Linked DNA regions of Saccharomyces cerevisiae S288C. The protein of the gene in region 3 purifies or fractionates together with the protein of the main gene of each other region. This does not show direct contact. Each region holds a gene or a part of one and is shown on either strand. Other genes may lie near its edges.

Region 1 (3,879 bases), on a different chromosome or scaffold from region 3:
TTTCATCTTGAGTATGATTTTCAATATTTGGAGATAATGGATCTAATATCATGAGTCAAAATGAAAGGAAAAATGTTCGAAGAAAGTATAGGCTAAAGTGACATAAGTTAATCGAAAAAAAAATATTCAAAGTTTAATTCTTGTTTACTAAATGAAAAAAATATTTCACTGTTTAAAGATATGTCTATAGGTGTAGTAATTAATGTTCAGAGTTTTGCTAATCAAACGAAAAAATGACTCTTTACGCTGCTATTAATGTCATTTAAATACCATAAACAGTTTACCGTTTTGACTTTTCACTTTTTTTTTGGGTGTCTTCTTTCCCCTGAAAAATTGAAAAACTAAAATTCCATTAATTGTCACCTTATGTTTTGTGTAAGCAAGTGAAGAGAATGAGAGCAATACGTGGCCATTTTCCATTTGAGTTATATATATGCATAGATAATTTTATCTCACGTACGTAAATACACATTTCGATTAGTAACAGATTTAAAATCAAAACCGGATCTGAGATAATCCGACACTTACTCGAAAATCTCTTCATTTAGCTTGCAAACCGTGCATGATTTCCTCTTTTGTAATTAAATGGCCTATTGTTTCTATATGTTCTAATAGTTCGTCAACATTATGTGACCATTCGTTCAATAATTGGCTTGAGTTTTTTGGTTTTTCAAAATTCACGATTTTGGCTGGGCGATTAACTTTAGCGTATATGATGCCCTGGTTTACCAAATCACTGATGTATGTTTCCGTCTGGCTCTCCGTTAGGTCCAGCAATTCATTCAATCTTAGTAAAGTAATTCTGGAATAGTATTCGGAAATGACTCTTAAATTGTGCTCGATGACCCTTTTTTGTAAATCTTCCCAGTGATGCTTATTAGCTTCTCCACCAAATGCCAAATCATCCTCATTTAAGACGGGCTCATAGGTTTTTTGAACAATTGGCCATCTCATCAACTCATTCGTAGTAAACAATTTTACTAAAGATTCTTGGCTTTCTAATTTTTTCAGGTTGTTATCATTCTGGATTTTGTGAATTAAATCATTTTGTAAATTGCCGTAAGGTGAAAGGACTAAGAAATATACAATGTGCGATAAAACAGGTTTCCACTTAGCCTCATCTGATTTAATGGCGTCTGTTTGATAAATTTCTTGCAGATACTGCGCAACTTCTAGGTATTCTCTCTTGTGCAAACTAATTTTTACCAGAAGATTATAATATTCTAGCTTCAATGACTCGTATTTTGGATTTTTAAAAGTTTTTTTCAGAATTTTTCTTGAAAGCACCGTGGCTTGGGAATAATCACCTTTTAATATACTCAATTCCATTTGCTCTAATATAAACTGAATTTTCTCAGACATTTCCATGGAGCCATAGGTCTCAACCTGTAACTCACACAAGATGTCTGCAGCTTCATCAATCTTACCCTCTTCTTTCTTAATTTCCACCAAATCTTTGGTGACCCTAGCTCTTTCCACTTCTACAAATATTTTGTTCTCTGTAACCACCCTGATAGTTTCAATGACACTAATTCTGGTGTTTAAATCCAAAGATTTCGAGCTTTTCAAATATTCCATAACCTTTTGTATCATATACTGAATTGACAATTTCAACTGACCATGCTTTTTTGAGAGTAGAGTCAATTGCTCATTTAGGTCGTCCCACTTATTCCTTGATGCTAGCAGATCTACAATCTTGGCCAAAACTTCTTTCGAGGAGGCCAGATCTGAAGCTTGTCTGGTTTTCTTCTCCAACACTAACAGTTGGTCTAAAGCAGAGTTACAATCATTTTGAGCGAGCGAATCGATCTTAGGAAACTCTTCCTTCAAAATTTGGCTATAATCCTTGTCAGCCTTAATTGGTGCATCTCTTGACATCTTTCTCTACGTTTACTCTAGCAACAAAAATGGTAGTGAGCCCAGCAGTATATTCCTCTACTCTCTTAATTCAAGATTATCTCTGATGTAGTGTCCTGTTATGGTTTTTCCTTGGATTCCCCTTTGCATTTTGCCACCGAAAAGTCAAAAAGATCACATACAAGACGGGTAATATTGGGGCGATGAGCCGTACAGAACGAGTGAAAAATTTTAGGATTTATTAGGAATAATAATGATAATTTAGAGATGAGCATTTAGCGAGAAGCATCTGAAGGTTGCACTAATTATTACTGTAAATAGTACAGTTGAGAAGCAAATAAAAGGGAAGATCAAATACATGGCCGGTTCACAACTTAAGAATTTAAAGGCCGCCTTGAAGGCCCGTGGACTCACAGGTCAAACAAACGTCAAAAGTAAGAATAAAAAGAATTCCAAAAGACAAGCGAAGGAGTATGATCGTGAAGAAAAAAAAAAGGCCATTGCTGAAATCAGAGAAGAGTTTAATCCGTTTGAAATAAAGGCTGCAAGGAATAAGAGGAGAGATGGTCTGCCTTCTAAAACTGCTGATCGTATTGCTGTGGGTAAGCCTGGTATCTCTAAACAGATCGGTGAAGAACAAAGAAAGCGTGCATTTGAAGCAAGAAAAATGATGAAGAATAAACGTGGTGGTGTGATCGATAAGAGATTTGGTGAAAGAGACAAGTTGTTGACGGAAGAAGAAAAAATGTTGGAACGTTTCACCAGAGAAAGACAAAGCCAATCAAAGAGAAACGCAAATTTATTCAATCTTGAAGACGATGAAGACGACGGTGACATGTTTGGAGACGGTCTTACACATTTAGGTCAATCGCTGTCCCTAGAAGATGAGCTTGCCAATGATGAAGAGGATTTTTTAGCTTCCAAACGATTCAATGAAGATGATGCTGAGCTACAGCAACCTCAAAGAAAAAAAACCAAAGCTGAAGTCATGAAAGAGGTCATTGCCAAATCAAAATTTTACAAACAAGAAAGACAAAAGGCTCAAGGTATAATGGAAGATCAAATAGATAATCTGGATGATAATTTCGAGGATGTTATGTCTGAATTGATGATGACGCAACCCAAGAAGAATCCAATGGAACCTAAGACCGATCTAGATAAGGAGTATGATATCAAAGTGAAAGAACTACAATTGGACAAAAGAGCTGCACCCTCTGATAGAACTAAAACTGAAGAGGAGAAAAACGCTGAAGCTGAAGAAAAAAAACGGGAGTTGGAACAACAGCGTCTTGATCGTATGAACGGTATGATTGAATTAGAAGAAGGCGAAGAAAGAGGAGTAGAGGATTTGGATGATGGATTCTGGGAAAATGAAGAAGACTATGAAGACGATAATGACGGTATTGCTGATTCTGATGATGATATCAAATTTGAAGATCAAGGCAGAGATGAAGGGTTTTCTCAAATTTTAAAGAAAAAGAACATTTCCATTTCATGCCCTAGAACTCATGATGCGTTATTAGATCAAGTAAAAAAATTAGACTTAGATGATCATCCTAAGATTGTTAAGAATATTATCAAAGCTTACCAACCAAAATTGGCTGAAGGTAATAAGGAAAAGTTAGGAAAATTCACCGCTGTTTTACTGAGACACATCATTTTTCTAAGCAATCAAAACTACCTTAAAAACGTTCAAAGTTTTAAACGTACACAAAATGCATTGATCTCAATTCTAAAATCCCTTTCAGAGAAATATAATAGAGAGCTTTCCGAGGAGTGTAGAGATTATATCAATGAAATGCAAGCACGCTATAAAAAGAACCATTTTGATGCTCTATCAAATGGTGATCTGGTATTTTTTTCCATTATTGGTATTCTTTTCTCCACCTCGGACCAGTACCATTTAGTAATAACTCCAGCATTGATTTTAATGAGCCAGTTCCTGGAACAAATCAAGTTTAATTCTTTAAAGAGGATAGCTTTTGGCGCTGTCTTGGTAAGGATTGTTTCACAATATCAACG
Region 2 (5,344 bases), 130 kb from region 3:
ATTTGGCCGTCAGCCGGACAGCGCTCAGATTAATTGTGGGCTAGATTCTTCACGCTGGAAACGAGTCACCGTTATGAAAACTAATGGAATCTCCCAGGTTTAATACATAAGAAGGTTACGAGCTACTACATTAAAAAATACTTTGTCTGTTTTAGCTGTAGATTATTGTAACATTAAAAAGTAACAAACACTGATTTCGGGTATTTCCTCCCTAACATGTCTTATTCAGCTGCCGATAATTTACAAGATTCATTCCAACGTGCCATGAACTTTTCTGGCTCTCCTGGTGCAGTCTCAACCTCACCAACTCAGTCATTTATGAACACACTACCTCGTCGTGTAAGCATTACAAAGCAACCAAAGGCTTTAAAACCTTTTTCTACTGGTGACATGAATATTCTACTGTTGGAAAATGTCAATGCAACTGCAATCAAAATCTTCAAGGATCAGGGTTACCAAGTAGAGTTCCACAAGTCTTCTCTACCTGAGGATGAATTGATTGAAAAAATCAAAGACGTACACGCTATCGGTATAAGATCCAAAACTAGATTGACTGAAAAAATACTACAGCATGCCAGGAATCTAGTTTGTATTGGTTGTTTTTGCATAGGTACCAATCAAGTAGACCTAAAATATGCCGCTAGTAAAGGTATTGCTGTTTTCAATTCGCCATTCTCCAATTCAAGATCCGTAGCAGAATTGGTAATTGGTGAGATCATTAGTTTAGCAAGACAATTAGGTGATAGATCCATTGAACTGCATACAGGTACATGGAATAAAGTCGCTGCTAGGTGTTGGGAAGTAAGAGGAAAAACTCTCGGTATTATTGGGTATGGTCACATTGGTTCGCAATTATCAGTTCTTGCAGAAGCTATGGGCCTGCATGTGCTATACTATGATATCGTGACAATTATGGCCTTAGGTACTGCCAGACAAGTTTCTACATTAGATGAATTGTTGAATAAATCTGATTTTGTAACACTACATGTACCAGCTACTCCAGAAACTGAAAAAATGTTATCTGCTCCACAATTCGCTGCTATGAAGGACGGGGCTTATGTTATTAATGCCTCAAGAGGTACTGTCGTGGACATTCCATCTCTGATCCAAGCCGTCAAGGCCAACAAAATTGCAGGTGCTGCTTTAGATGTTTATCCACATGAACCAGCTAAGAACGGTGAAGGTTCATTTAACGATGAACTTAACAGCTGGACTTCTGAGTTGGTTTCATTACCAAATATAATCCTGACACCACATATTGGTGGCTCTACAGAAGAAGCTCAAAGTTCAATCGGTATTGAGGTGGCTACTGCATTGTCCAAATACATCAATGAAGGTAACTCTGTCGGTTCTGTGAACTTCCCAGAAGTCAGTTTGAAGTCTTTGGACTACGATCAAGAGAACACAGTACGTGTCTTGTATATTCATCGTAACGTTCCTGGTGTTTTGAAGACCGTTAATGATATCTTATCCGATCATAATATCGAGAAACAGTTTTCTGATTCTCACGGCGAGATCGCTTATCTAATGGCAGACATCTCTTCTGTTAATCAAAGTGAAATCAAGGATATATATGAAAAGTTGAACCAAACTTCTGCCAAAGTTTCCATCAGGTTATTATACTAATTACTCAGATAAATAAAAATATATGTATAGATTTAAAATCCTCCCCTATCTTCATAGTATGTAAGATATGTTGAAACGGAATCGAGTAAAAAAATAGCCTTTGATTGCCCATTAAACTCCACAAAGTGCTGTCTCACGATTCATGGACGATAATCTGTCGAGCTTTTTCGATCTGCCTCTTATTGCCATTATTTCGAGGGTTTAGTGCGGGTAATAGCATATTGCTTTTCAATAGGAGAAGGGCGCATTTCATTTATTTTCGGTGGCAAAACTGGATACATAAAAGTATAATGCTTTGAATCCAAGGGAAAAAAAATTGTGGAACTCTATCCAGTAAAAGACCACCCAGAATAGATTGAGTTCAAATATAACCGGAAAAGATGTCTTTGACGACTGCTGCTCCTCTTTTAGCATTGTTGAGAGAGAATCAAGATTCTGTTAAAACATATGCCCTAGAATCTATAAATAATGTTGTGGACCAATTATGGTCTGAGATCTCGAATGAACTGCCGGATATTGAGGCATTGTATGATGACGATACCTTTTCAGACCGTGAAATGGCTGCTTTGATTGCATCCAAAGTTTATTACAATCTTGGTGAATACGAATCGGCTGTGAAGTATGCACTTGCCGCAAAGGATCGTTTTGATATAGACGAAAAGTCACAATTTGTTGAAACTATAGTCTCAAAGAGTATTGAGATGTACGTCCAAGAGGCTTCCAAGCAATACACTAAGGACGAACAATTTTACACCAAGGATATTATTGACCCAAAATTAACCTCTATTTTTGAGCGAATGATAGAAAAATGTTTGAAAGCTTCAGAATTAAAATTAGCTTTAGGAATTGCCTTAGAAGGTTACAGATTGGATATCATTGAAAGTGCTTTAAAGAGCAAATTGGATCAGGATTCCACTTCTGAAAACGTTAAAATTATTAACTACTTATTGACCTTAGCTATAACTACTGTGACAAATTCCAAGTTCAGATCCTCGATATTGAGAAAATCATTTGATTTCCTAATGAATATGCCTAACTGCGATTACTTAACGCTCAATAAAGTAGTTGTAAATTTGAATGACGCCGGATTGGCACTTCAGCTATTTAAAAAATTAAAGGAAGAGAACGATGAAGGATTATCTGCTCAAATTGCATTTGATTTGGTTTCGTCTGCGTCTCAGCAGTTGCTTGAGATTTTAGTAACCGAACTAACTGCCCAGGGTTACGATCCTGCCTTATTGAATATTCTATCTGGGCTACCGACTTGTGATTATTACAATACCTTCCTTTTGAATAATAAAAACATTGACATCGGTCTTTTAAACAAGTCTAAATCATCTTTGGATGGGAAATTTTCTTTGTTCCACACCGCAGTCAGCGTTGCCAACGGTTTTATGCACGCTGGTACTACCGACAATTCATTTATCAAGGCGAACTTGCCATGGTTAGGTAAGGCTCAAAATTGGGCTAAATTTACAGCTACAGCCTCTTTAGGTGTAATTCATAAAGGCAATTTATTGGAGGGTAAAAAAGTCATGGCCCCTTACTTGCCAGGCAGTCGAGCTTCTTCTAGGTTTATCAAAGGTGGTTCATTGTATGGTTTGGGTTTAATTTATGCTGGCTTTGGTCGTGATACAACTGACTATCTGAAAAACATAATAGTTGAGAATAGCGGAACTTCAGGCGATGAAGACGTAGATGTATTGTTACATGGTGCTTCACTGGGTATCGGTCTTGCTGCTATGGGTTCTGCTAATATTGAAGTTTATGAAGCCTTAAAGGAAGTTCTGTACAACGATTCTGCCACATCTGGAGAAGCAGCTGCATTAGGTATGGGTCTCTGTATGCTCGGAACAGGTAAGCCTGAAGCGATTCACGATATGTTTACATATTCCCAAGAAACGCAGCATGGCAATATTACTCGTGGTCTAGCCGTTGGTTTAGCACTGATAAATTACGGCCGTCAAGAGTTAGCTGATGATTTAATTACTAAGATGTTAGCAAGTGATGAGTCCTTGTTACGCTATGGAGGTGCATTCACAATCGCGTTAGCGTATGCGGGTACGGGAAATAATTCAGCTGTCAAGAGATTACTGCATGTGGCAGTCTCGGATTCTAACGATGATGTCAGAAGGGCAGCAGTCATCGCATTAGGGTTTGTTCTCTTGCGTGATTATACCACTGTACCAAGGATTGTCCAACTTCTATCTAAATCGCATAACGCTCATGTCAGATGTGGTACCGCATTTGCTCTTGGGATTGCTTGTGCCGGCAAGGGTTTACAATCAGCTATTGACGTTTTAGATCCGCTAACAAAGGACCCAGTAGATTTTGTTCGTCAGGCTGCCATGATAGCTTTATCCATGATTTTGATTCAACAAACAGAAAAACTAAACCCTCAAGTTGCTGATATTAACAAAAATTTTTTGAGCGTGATTACAAACAAACACCAAGAAGGTTTAGCCAAATTCGGTGCATGTGTGGCCCAAGGTATAATGAATGCCGGTGGGCGTAATGTTACAATTCAGCTGGAAAATGCGGATACAGGCACATTGGATACCAAGTCCGTAGTTGGTTTGGTCATGTTCTCACAATTCTGGTACTGGTTCCCACTGGCTCACTTTTTATCCCTTTCTTTTACACCAACAACTGTCATTGGTATTCGTGGTAGCGATCAAGCTATACCCAAATTTCAAATGAATTGTTACGCTAAAGAAGATGCATTCAGTTATCCGAGGATGTATGAGGAAGCAAGTGGTAAGGAGGTAGAGAAGGTAGCAACAGCTGTTCTTTCCACGACAGCAAGAGCAAAAGCAAGGGCAAAGAAGACAAAGAAGGAAAAGGGTCCAAATGAGGAAGAAAAGAAAAAAGAGCATGAGGAAAAAGAAAAGGAAAGAGAGACGAATAAAAAAGGCATAAAAGAAACAAAAGAAAACGACGAAGAATTTTACAAAAATAAGTACTCTTCTAAACCTTATAAAGTCGACAATATGACCCGTATACTACCACAACAATCGAGATATATTTCCTTTATTAAGGACGACAGATTTGTTCCTGTACGTAAATTCAAAGGAAATAACGGTGTGGTGGTTTTAAGAGATAGGGAACCCAAGGAACCTGTAGCACTAATTGAAACTGTTAGGCAAATGAAAGATGTTAACGCTCCACTTCCAACCCCATTTAAGGTCGATGATAATGTCGACTTCCCTAGTGCTTAGATCAAGGGTGCATGGTCGTACAGAAAATGAAGAATTAGTTCAAAATGCCAGAAAATAAATAATAGTGTACATACTTTTAAAAAAAAATCATTGAATTATTCTGCCAGGATTAGCTACTTTACGCATAATTCTAACGTGACAAATGTTGTTTCCGCTTTGTTAATTATACTTTATATGATTTTGTTCAAGCCATGTCAACCTCATTTATGGTACCATCTTATTCGGCTTTATCAAAATAGTATATAGGCATATACATGAAATATTTTTTTCTTTTTCTAAAAAACCTACATGTTTAATGTGAGATATTACGTAAATCAGTTGGACGTATCATATTTCCTCACTAATTCATCGAATTTTGCGTCAATTTCTTGGTGATGCTTGATGAATGCATGTTCGTGATCCAATTTAACCAATTGATTTGTTAAATCTTCAGTATCAAGACCTTGCATAAGAGCAAGCGTAATTTGGTTTGCTAAGAAAGTAGGTTTGTACAATACGGC
Region 3 (2,814 bases):
GGCAGACGGTATGGAGAGCTCAAAAATTCCCAAAGCAGAAAACAATACTGATTTCTGATACTAAAACGAGATAGGTTAATAGCAAAATCGGGATGGTAAACGTGAAAGTGGAGTTTCTAGGTGGACTTGATGCTATTTTTGGAAAACAAAGAGTACATAAAATTAAGATGGACAAAGAAGATCCTGTCACAGTGGGCGATTTGATTGACCACATTGTATCTACTATGATCAATAACCCTAATGACGTTAGTATCTTCATCGAAGATGATTCTATAAGACCCGGTATCATCACATTAATCAACGACACCGATTGGGAGCTCGAAGGCGAAAAAGACTACATATTGGAAGACGGTGACATCATCTCTTTTACTTCAACATTACATGGTGGTTAAAAATAGCAGCAAATAATTTTTAAGAAGCAGCTACATATATATATATAAAGTGCTGTACAGCTTGAATGAATCACAAGTTAGATAACGTAGGTAATATGCAGATAGTATAAAAAGTAATAGTAATAACTGGATTGGTTTTTTTTAGTACATGACGAAGATTATAGCTCTTGTATCCTACAACCCAAAAGACCTCTACCATTCCAGTTTCTCGAAGGTGTTAGCGATGTCTTTAGGATTTGCCCTTCTCTCAAGAGAAGGACGGGAAGTGGCCTGTCTTCATTTTTCATTACAACCATCTGAATGTTTTGAAGTTTAGAGTGGTTTGCCGCATGCACATTACCAATAGAAATCAGCTTATCATCAACCTTTATGTCTGCTTTATCTGAAGGGCTACCGGGTACTACCTCACTGATAAATGCAAAAGGGATGGTATACTGAATAGCTTGATCGTCGTTATTCCTTCTTGCATCTTGGTTTGACTTAACGTTCATATTATCAAAGTGCTGGTTTAGTAAGACGTGTGATCTTTGCAAAAGGTGATTTAAATCATTCTTCAGCATATTAACATTCTTTCTGATCATAGTGACTTGCAATACATCGACATCCGAACGAGGATACCCGTCTGGCGTCACCAACGCAGAGTCCATGCCGATGCCTTGCTGCTCAAGCACACTGAAATACGCCTCTAGTTGTGTCTCAATATCTGTCTTTAGAACCATCAATTCCGACAGTTTGAAGCTGTCTATTTGACTAATTCTTGATGTTAGGCTCGGATCTATCTTAACATTGGCCAACAATTTACTTAATTCTTCTTCCTCCATTGTAGTTCGTTCTTATTCTAATTCTTGCTCCTTTTTACTCTGGTGATAACTTTTCTATCTCTCAATGCTGAACATTTTTTTTCCCTTTATTATCCAATATTCCAACCGTTATAAAGTAAGCCTTATCGAACACAATCCACGGCGCACGCAAGGGACAGCAAATTTCGAGAATTAATGAATAGCCAGTAGTAAGATCCGTATTGATAAAGGTCATAGATCCCAACCTTTATGTGAGCCAGCCCGAAGGGCCCTTTAAATGACTCTCATAATATGGTCCAATAGCACCAATTTCTAGGGGTTACCCACCGGCCTAGTGCTTAATCGAATTCTGAAAAGAATCTCTACTACAGACTGCCAACCGTAATAGTAGTGAGATCAACACTGAAGGCAGCAGTCTTTAGCACAATGACACAGACTGATAATCCTGTCCCCAACTGCGGTTTACTGCCCGAGCAGCAGTATTGCTCTGCAGACCATGAAGAGCCACTGTTGTTGCATGAAGAACAATTGATATTCCCTGATCATTCCTCCCAACTGTCCTCAGCAGATATCATCGAGCCCATCAAGATGAACAGCAGTACTGAGTCAATTATAGGGACAACGCTGCGAAAGAAATGGGTACCACTATCCTCAACTCAGATCACAGCTCTTTCCGGCGCATTTGCTGGATTCTTATCAGGTGTGGCAGTATGTCCCCTCGATGTTGCCAAAACGCGATTGCAAGCACAAGGACTACAAACTAGGTTCGAGAACCCCTACTATAGGGGGATAATGGGGACATTAAGTACTATAGTAAGAGACGAAGGCCCGCGGGGCCTCTACAAAGGGCTGGTACCGATTGTCCTGGGCTACTTCCCAACCTGGATGATATACTTCTCCGTGTATGAATTCAGCAAAAAGTTCTTTCACGGCATCTTCCCACAGTTTGATTTTGTTGCTCAGTCATGTGCTGCAATCACGGCAGGCGCTGCATCTACCACCTTGACCAACCCAATCTGGGTTGTGAAGACAAGACTTATGCTGCAATCAAACCTCGGTGAGCACCCCACACATTACAAAGGCACTTTCGATGCATTCAGAAAGCTATTTTATCAGGAAGGGTTTAAAGCATTATATGCGGGGCTGGTCCCCTCATTATTAGGGCTATTTCATGTGGCTATCCATTTCCCTATATACGAAGATTTGAAGGTAAGATTTCACTGCTATTCTCGGGAGAACAACACCAACTCCATCAACTTGCAACGGTTGATCATGGCATCGTCCGTCTCTAAGATGATTGCATCAGCAGTAACATATCCGCACGAAATTTTACGAACCAGAATGCAACTGAAATCAGATATACCAGATTCCATTCAACGACGTCTGTTCCCCCTCATTAAAGCAACTTATGCACAAGAGGGACTAAAGGGATTTTATTCTGGATTTACTACTAACCTAGTACGAACCATTCCGGCCTCGGCAATCACTCTAGTGTCCTTTGAGTATTTCAGAAACCGCCTAGAAAATATTAGCACTATGGTAATTTAAAGCCTTAAAATTCACACACGCCACACATTGAGTGTGCTATGAATATGCCTGCGCTAATATTTTAGGTATTACAG
Region 4 (3,578 bases), on a different chromosome or scaffold from region 3:
ATGATCTGTGAATCTTATTCTTCAAATAAATAGCAGAAGAAAGACGAACATTTAGCGCAAAATTATCATCAGACACTATATTAAGCAGAAAAGAAGTAAACCCAGGTTGCTTCTGGAACTCAAATAACTGCTGTTCTGCCTCTTTGATAATTTTTGCATCAGCAACCATAGTCTGCTCAATGCAGCTCAAAATTGCCTGTTCTTGTACCATTTCCTTTTTTGATTTATCTCCTTTGTTGTAGACGGGCGCAATGTTAAATGTTTATGACACAAATCGAATAGCAAATCTACACTGGGATGAAGCAGAGACTGCGTACTTGATATTTTGGTTGTACTTTATTGATTGAGATACTTGTTGATAGGTACTCATCTTACCATCTCATTTGGAAAAAAAAATATCACAGAAAAAAAAAAGTGAAAAACTTGGCTAGCGACGTCCGGTTGCGCGCGGAATAACGCTAAGAAACGTGATAAAAAAGTGGCGTCTGTATTTATTTCATTTAGTGTTGTCTAGATAGAAATGTACGTAATACTTTATGTAGACCTACGTTGAAGCATATATGGTAATCATTTGTAGAAGTCGAATTTATCGACGGTATTATCTGTCTTGACTTGAGTGGCGTAAGCTTCTTCCAGATCGCTTTGTAAGATGACATATCTGTTTTTCCTCACTGCTCTTAAACCAGCTTCCTGCATGATCGCTGCAATAACAGCACCTGATAGAGAGTCGTTACGAATAATAAGCGAGTCTAAGTCCGCTTCTGGGGCAAGGGACATCTTACTGGCAATGGTACCGAAAATCAAACGACGTTCACGCCTATCACGAAGTGAGGGAAACTCAATCTTTCTATCTAATCTGCCTGGTCTCAGCAAAGCTGGGTCCAATGTGTCTGCCCTGTTTGTAGCCATGATGACTTTAACGTTGGTGGATTGATCGAAACCATCCATTTGTGTCAACAACTCAATCAGGATACGCTGTACTTCACGATCGGAACCCGTTTGAGCATCAAAACGCTTTGTGGCAATGGAATCTACCTCATCTATGAATATAATGGATGGAGCATTTTCCCTGGCGAGTCTAAAGACGTCACGAACCATTCTTGGACCTTCACCAAGATATTTGTGAACAAATTCGGAGCCATTAACTCTTATGAATGCAGCTTTTGTACTATTGGCGACGGCTTTAACAAGCATCGTCTTACCGGTACCTGGTGGACCATATAATAGAACACCCCTAGGAGGGTCAATACCGATTTGCTCGTATAGATCAGCCTGAACTAATGGCAGCTCTACGGCTTCCCTGATTTCTTGCTTTTGCATATCTAACCCACCAACATCTGCATAAGTGACGTCAGGTTTTTCGTTTTCGCCCATTACGGATATGCTAGAGTCGGAATCAGGTGGTAGGATGTCAACTAAAGCATTTGAATGACGATGTAAAGCTACAGACATAGATGGCTTTAATAGTTCACGGTCTAGGGTTGATAATATTCTAACGACATAACTCATACCTGTGGTACTAGAAACAATACCTGTGTTCTGATCAATAGGTTCTAAGAATTGCCCGATAACTAATGGAACCGACTGGATTCTCTTTACTTCTTCTTGAGCTCTCTTCAATTCACGTTTCAAATGGCGTTGTTCGTCCTTAATATAGTCTTCTTGCAAAGTCAGCAGTTCATACTCTTTTTCTAATTTCTTCAATTTGAAATATATATCAGAATTCACATTAGACAGGGCACTGTTATTGTTGACTGTACCATTGAGTTGAGCCAACAATGATGCGTATGATTTGACGGCTGGTTTTTCTTCGACTGCCTTTTCGACAGGTGTCACAATACCTAGTTCCTCCATTCTTGTTGTGGTTTTTACTTTATAAATACTTGAATTTTATCCGATTGCCTCTTGTATAACTTATGAGTGAAAGGAAATAGGCAGAATTGGTTTGTCCACACACTGAGAATCTGAGCCCTATTACTTCCTATATTCATGGCTATACCCAATTACTGCAGATTTACTATTTTGCCACCTTACTTTCAGGAAAAATATGAAAGGGCACATCGCGCGCTACGAAGAGCCAAACATTAGAGAAATTTTGATTATAATGGATTACACCAGCTAAACATTAGCTAGGTAAGGTTAAGGATATTGAAACCAAAACGTGCTATTTACTGTGTATTTATGATTTTATTATGTACAAGGATAAAGGATGAAAAAAATGCATGCGTGTTTTTTTAACGATATTCTTGCGCAGTATATCATGTCATATCAGCCCGGATACCAAGATTGTCATACTCACTAAAGAAATTGAGTATAAGTAGAACTCTAAGGTGTCAAAGACTAGGGGAGCGTCAAGTTTCCTATATTGTATGCTTTTTAGTGTGACAAAAAGTGCCTTTATTCGTTCCCAAATATCTCTGAAGGATTTCATTTCTGTTGTAGTGGTCTCAGCCGTTGCAACTTCAGGCCTGTCGATTTCCGCCGTATTAATTTTACATTCACCTCTCTGTTCTATGTGCTCTTCAACGATCGAGTTTTCTGTGTTGCCTTGGTCTGTTACTTCCGATGATTTTCCAGGTAACAATTTATCCATCTTCATATTCTGCTCCTTGGCATATTCGTTGAGAGCGCTTTTGACTTTGTCTTCAAACGATCCTACTAACCTTTTCCGTTTCCAAGGTTCTAATAGTAATTGTAGGACAATAAACAAGAATATATTCATACCCATTAAGATGAATGTACCCCAGGTGGATGTTCTTCGGATTTTGTCTGACCATATTTGTTCCTCATGGTACCTGGTCAAAATTGCTCTATACAAGTCGTCATTTAGTTGTTCTTCTTTGCTTTCAATTTCTTTAACCTTGTTTTTTAGTTCTTGCTCCTGTCTAGCATTCAAGGCGTCATTTTTGTATAGCTGCGTAAATCTCTCTAAATCGCTCGAAGACCACGCGCTTTGCCTTTGCAATAATTCGTTAACTTCTCTTTGGGATTGAGCACGTTCATCAATGGCGTTAGCGTACTGTGCCTTAAACAGTTTGTGTTCTTTCTTTGTAGCTTCTAATTTTTTTTCCATTAGACTGATGCTAGATTTGAGCTTTTGAATTCCAGAATAACCGGTCACATCATTTAAAGCACGTGTGGCAGTAAATAACGTCTCCTGTAATGAGTCAAAATAAAACTCTAACTTTCTAGACCATTTTTTTCTATGTTGTTCCCTTTCGGAGGGCAATCCTTCAATTTTCGCACTGGTCAATTCATCTTTATTATAGTTTAAACGGGAATCGTTGATTTCATTCTCTTGCTCAGACAACTTCCTGTTTGCCTCTTGAATTGATTTTTTGGCCTTGTTAACTTGAAAGGATAATTGATCTCGGTGGAAGTTAAACCTAGAATACAATTCATTTAATTTCTTTTTCAAGTGCTGCCATTGAAGTTCTATATTTTCTTTCCAAACAGCGTTATTAGGTGTCCGTATTTCATTTTTATTAGTGCTGCCTTTATCAGGAGTATCACCGTTCTGTAGAGAATATGAACTATAATGAAATGGCCTGGTGAAAGATGACGCCCTCAACATTAAT

The links.
Region 1: the proteins of NAS2 (region 3) and RPN5 purify together in Saccharomyces cerevisiae (affinity purification with mass spectrometry; 2 studies listed by BioGRID). This does not show direct contact.
Region 2: the proteins of NAS2 (region 3) and RPN2 purify together in Saccharomyces cerevisiae (affinity purification with western blotting; 3 studies listed by BioGRID, with this or other methods). This does not show direct contact.
Region 4: the proteins of NAS2 (region 3) and RPT3 purify together in Saccharomyces cerevisiae (affinity purification with western blotting; 5 studies listed by BioGRID, with this or other methods). This does not show direct contact.

Annotation. Positions count from the first base shown.
Region 1 is NC_001136.10:188,923-192,801, reverse strand, and holds RPN5 (proteasome regulatory particle lid subunit RPN5), read right to left. Parts: upstream 1,879-3,879; coding exon 541-1,878; downstream 1-540. Other genes in the region: LDB17 (Ldb17p), read right to left, coding at 1-52; snoRNA-binding rRNA-processing protein NOP14, read left to right, coding at 2,216-3,879. UniProt on the Saccharomyces cerevisiae protein: Acts as a regulatory subunit of the 26S proteasome which is involved in the ATP-dependent degradation of ubiquitinated proteins.
Region 2 is NC_001141.2:217,363-222,706, reverse strand, and holds RPN2 (proteasome regulatory particle base subunit RPN2), read left to right. Parts: upstream 1-2,006; coding exon 2,007-4,844; downstream 4,845-5,344. Other genes in the region: phosphoglycerate dehydrogenase SER33, read left to right, coding at 217-1,626; SEC28 (coatomer subunit epsilon), read right to left, coding at 5,159-5,344. UniProt on the Saccharomyces cerevisiae protein: Acts as a regulatory subunit of the 26S proteasome which is involved in the ATP-dependent degradation of ubiquitinated proteins.
Region 3 is NC_001141.2:342,444-345,257, forward strand, and holds NAS2 (Nas2p), read right to left. Parts: upstream 1,214-2,814; coding exon 551-1,213; downstream 1-550. Other genes in the region: ubiquitin-related modifier URM1, read left to right, coding at 93-392; YIA6 (NAD+ transporter), read left to right, coding at 1,619-2,740. UniProt on the Saccharomyces cerevisiae protein: Acts as a chaperone during the assembly of the 26S proteasome, specifically of the base subcomplex of the 19S regulatory complex (RC).
Region 4 is NC_001136.10:1,259,957-1,263,534, reverse strand, and holds RPT3 (proteasome regulatory particle base subunit RPT3), read right to left. Parts: upstream 1,855-3,578; coding exon 568-1,854; downstream 1-567. Other genes in the region: SXM1 (Sxm1p), read right to left, coding at 1-211; SHE9 (She9p), read right to left, coding at 2,264-3,578. UniProt on the Saccharomyces cerevisiae protein: The 26S proteasome is involved in the ATP-dependent degradation of ubiquitinated proteins. The regulatory (or ATPase) complex confers ATP dependency and substrate specificity to the 26S complex.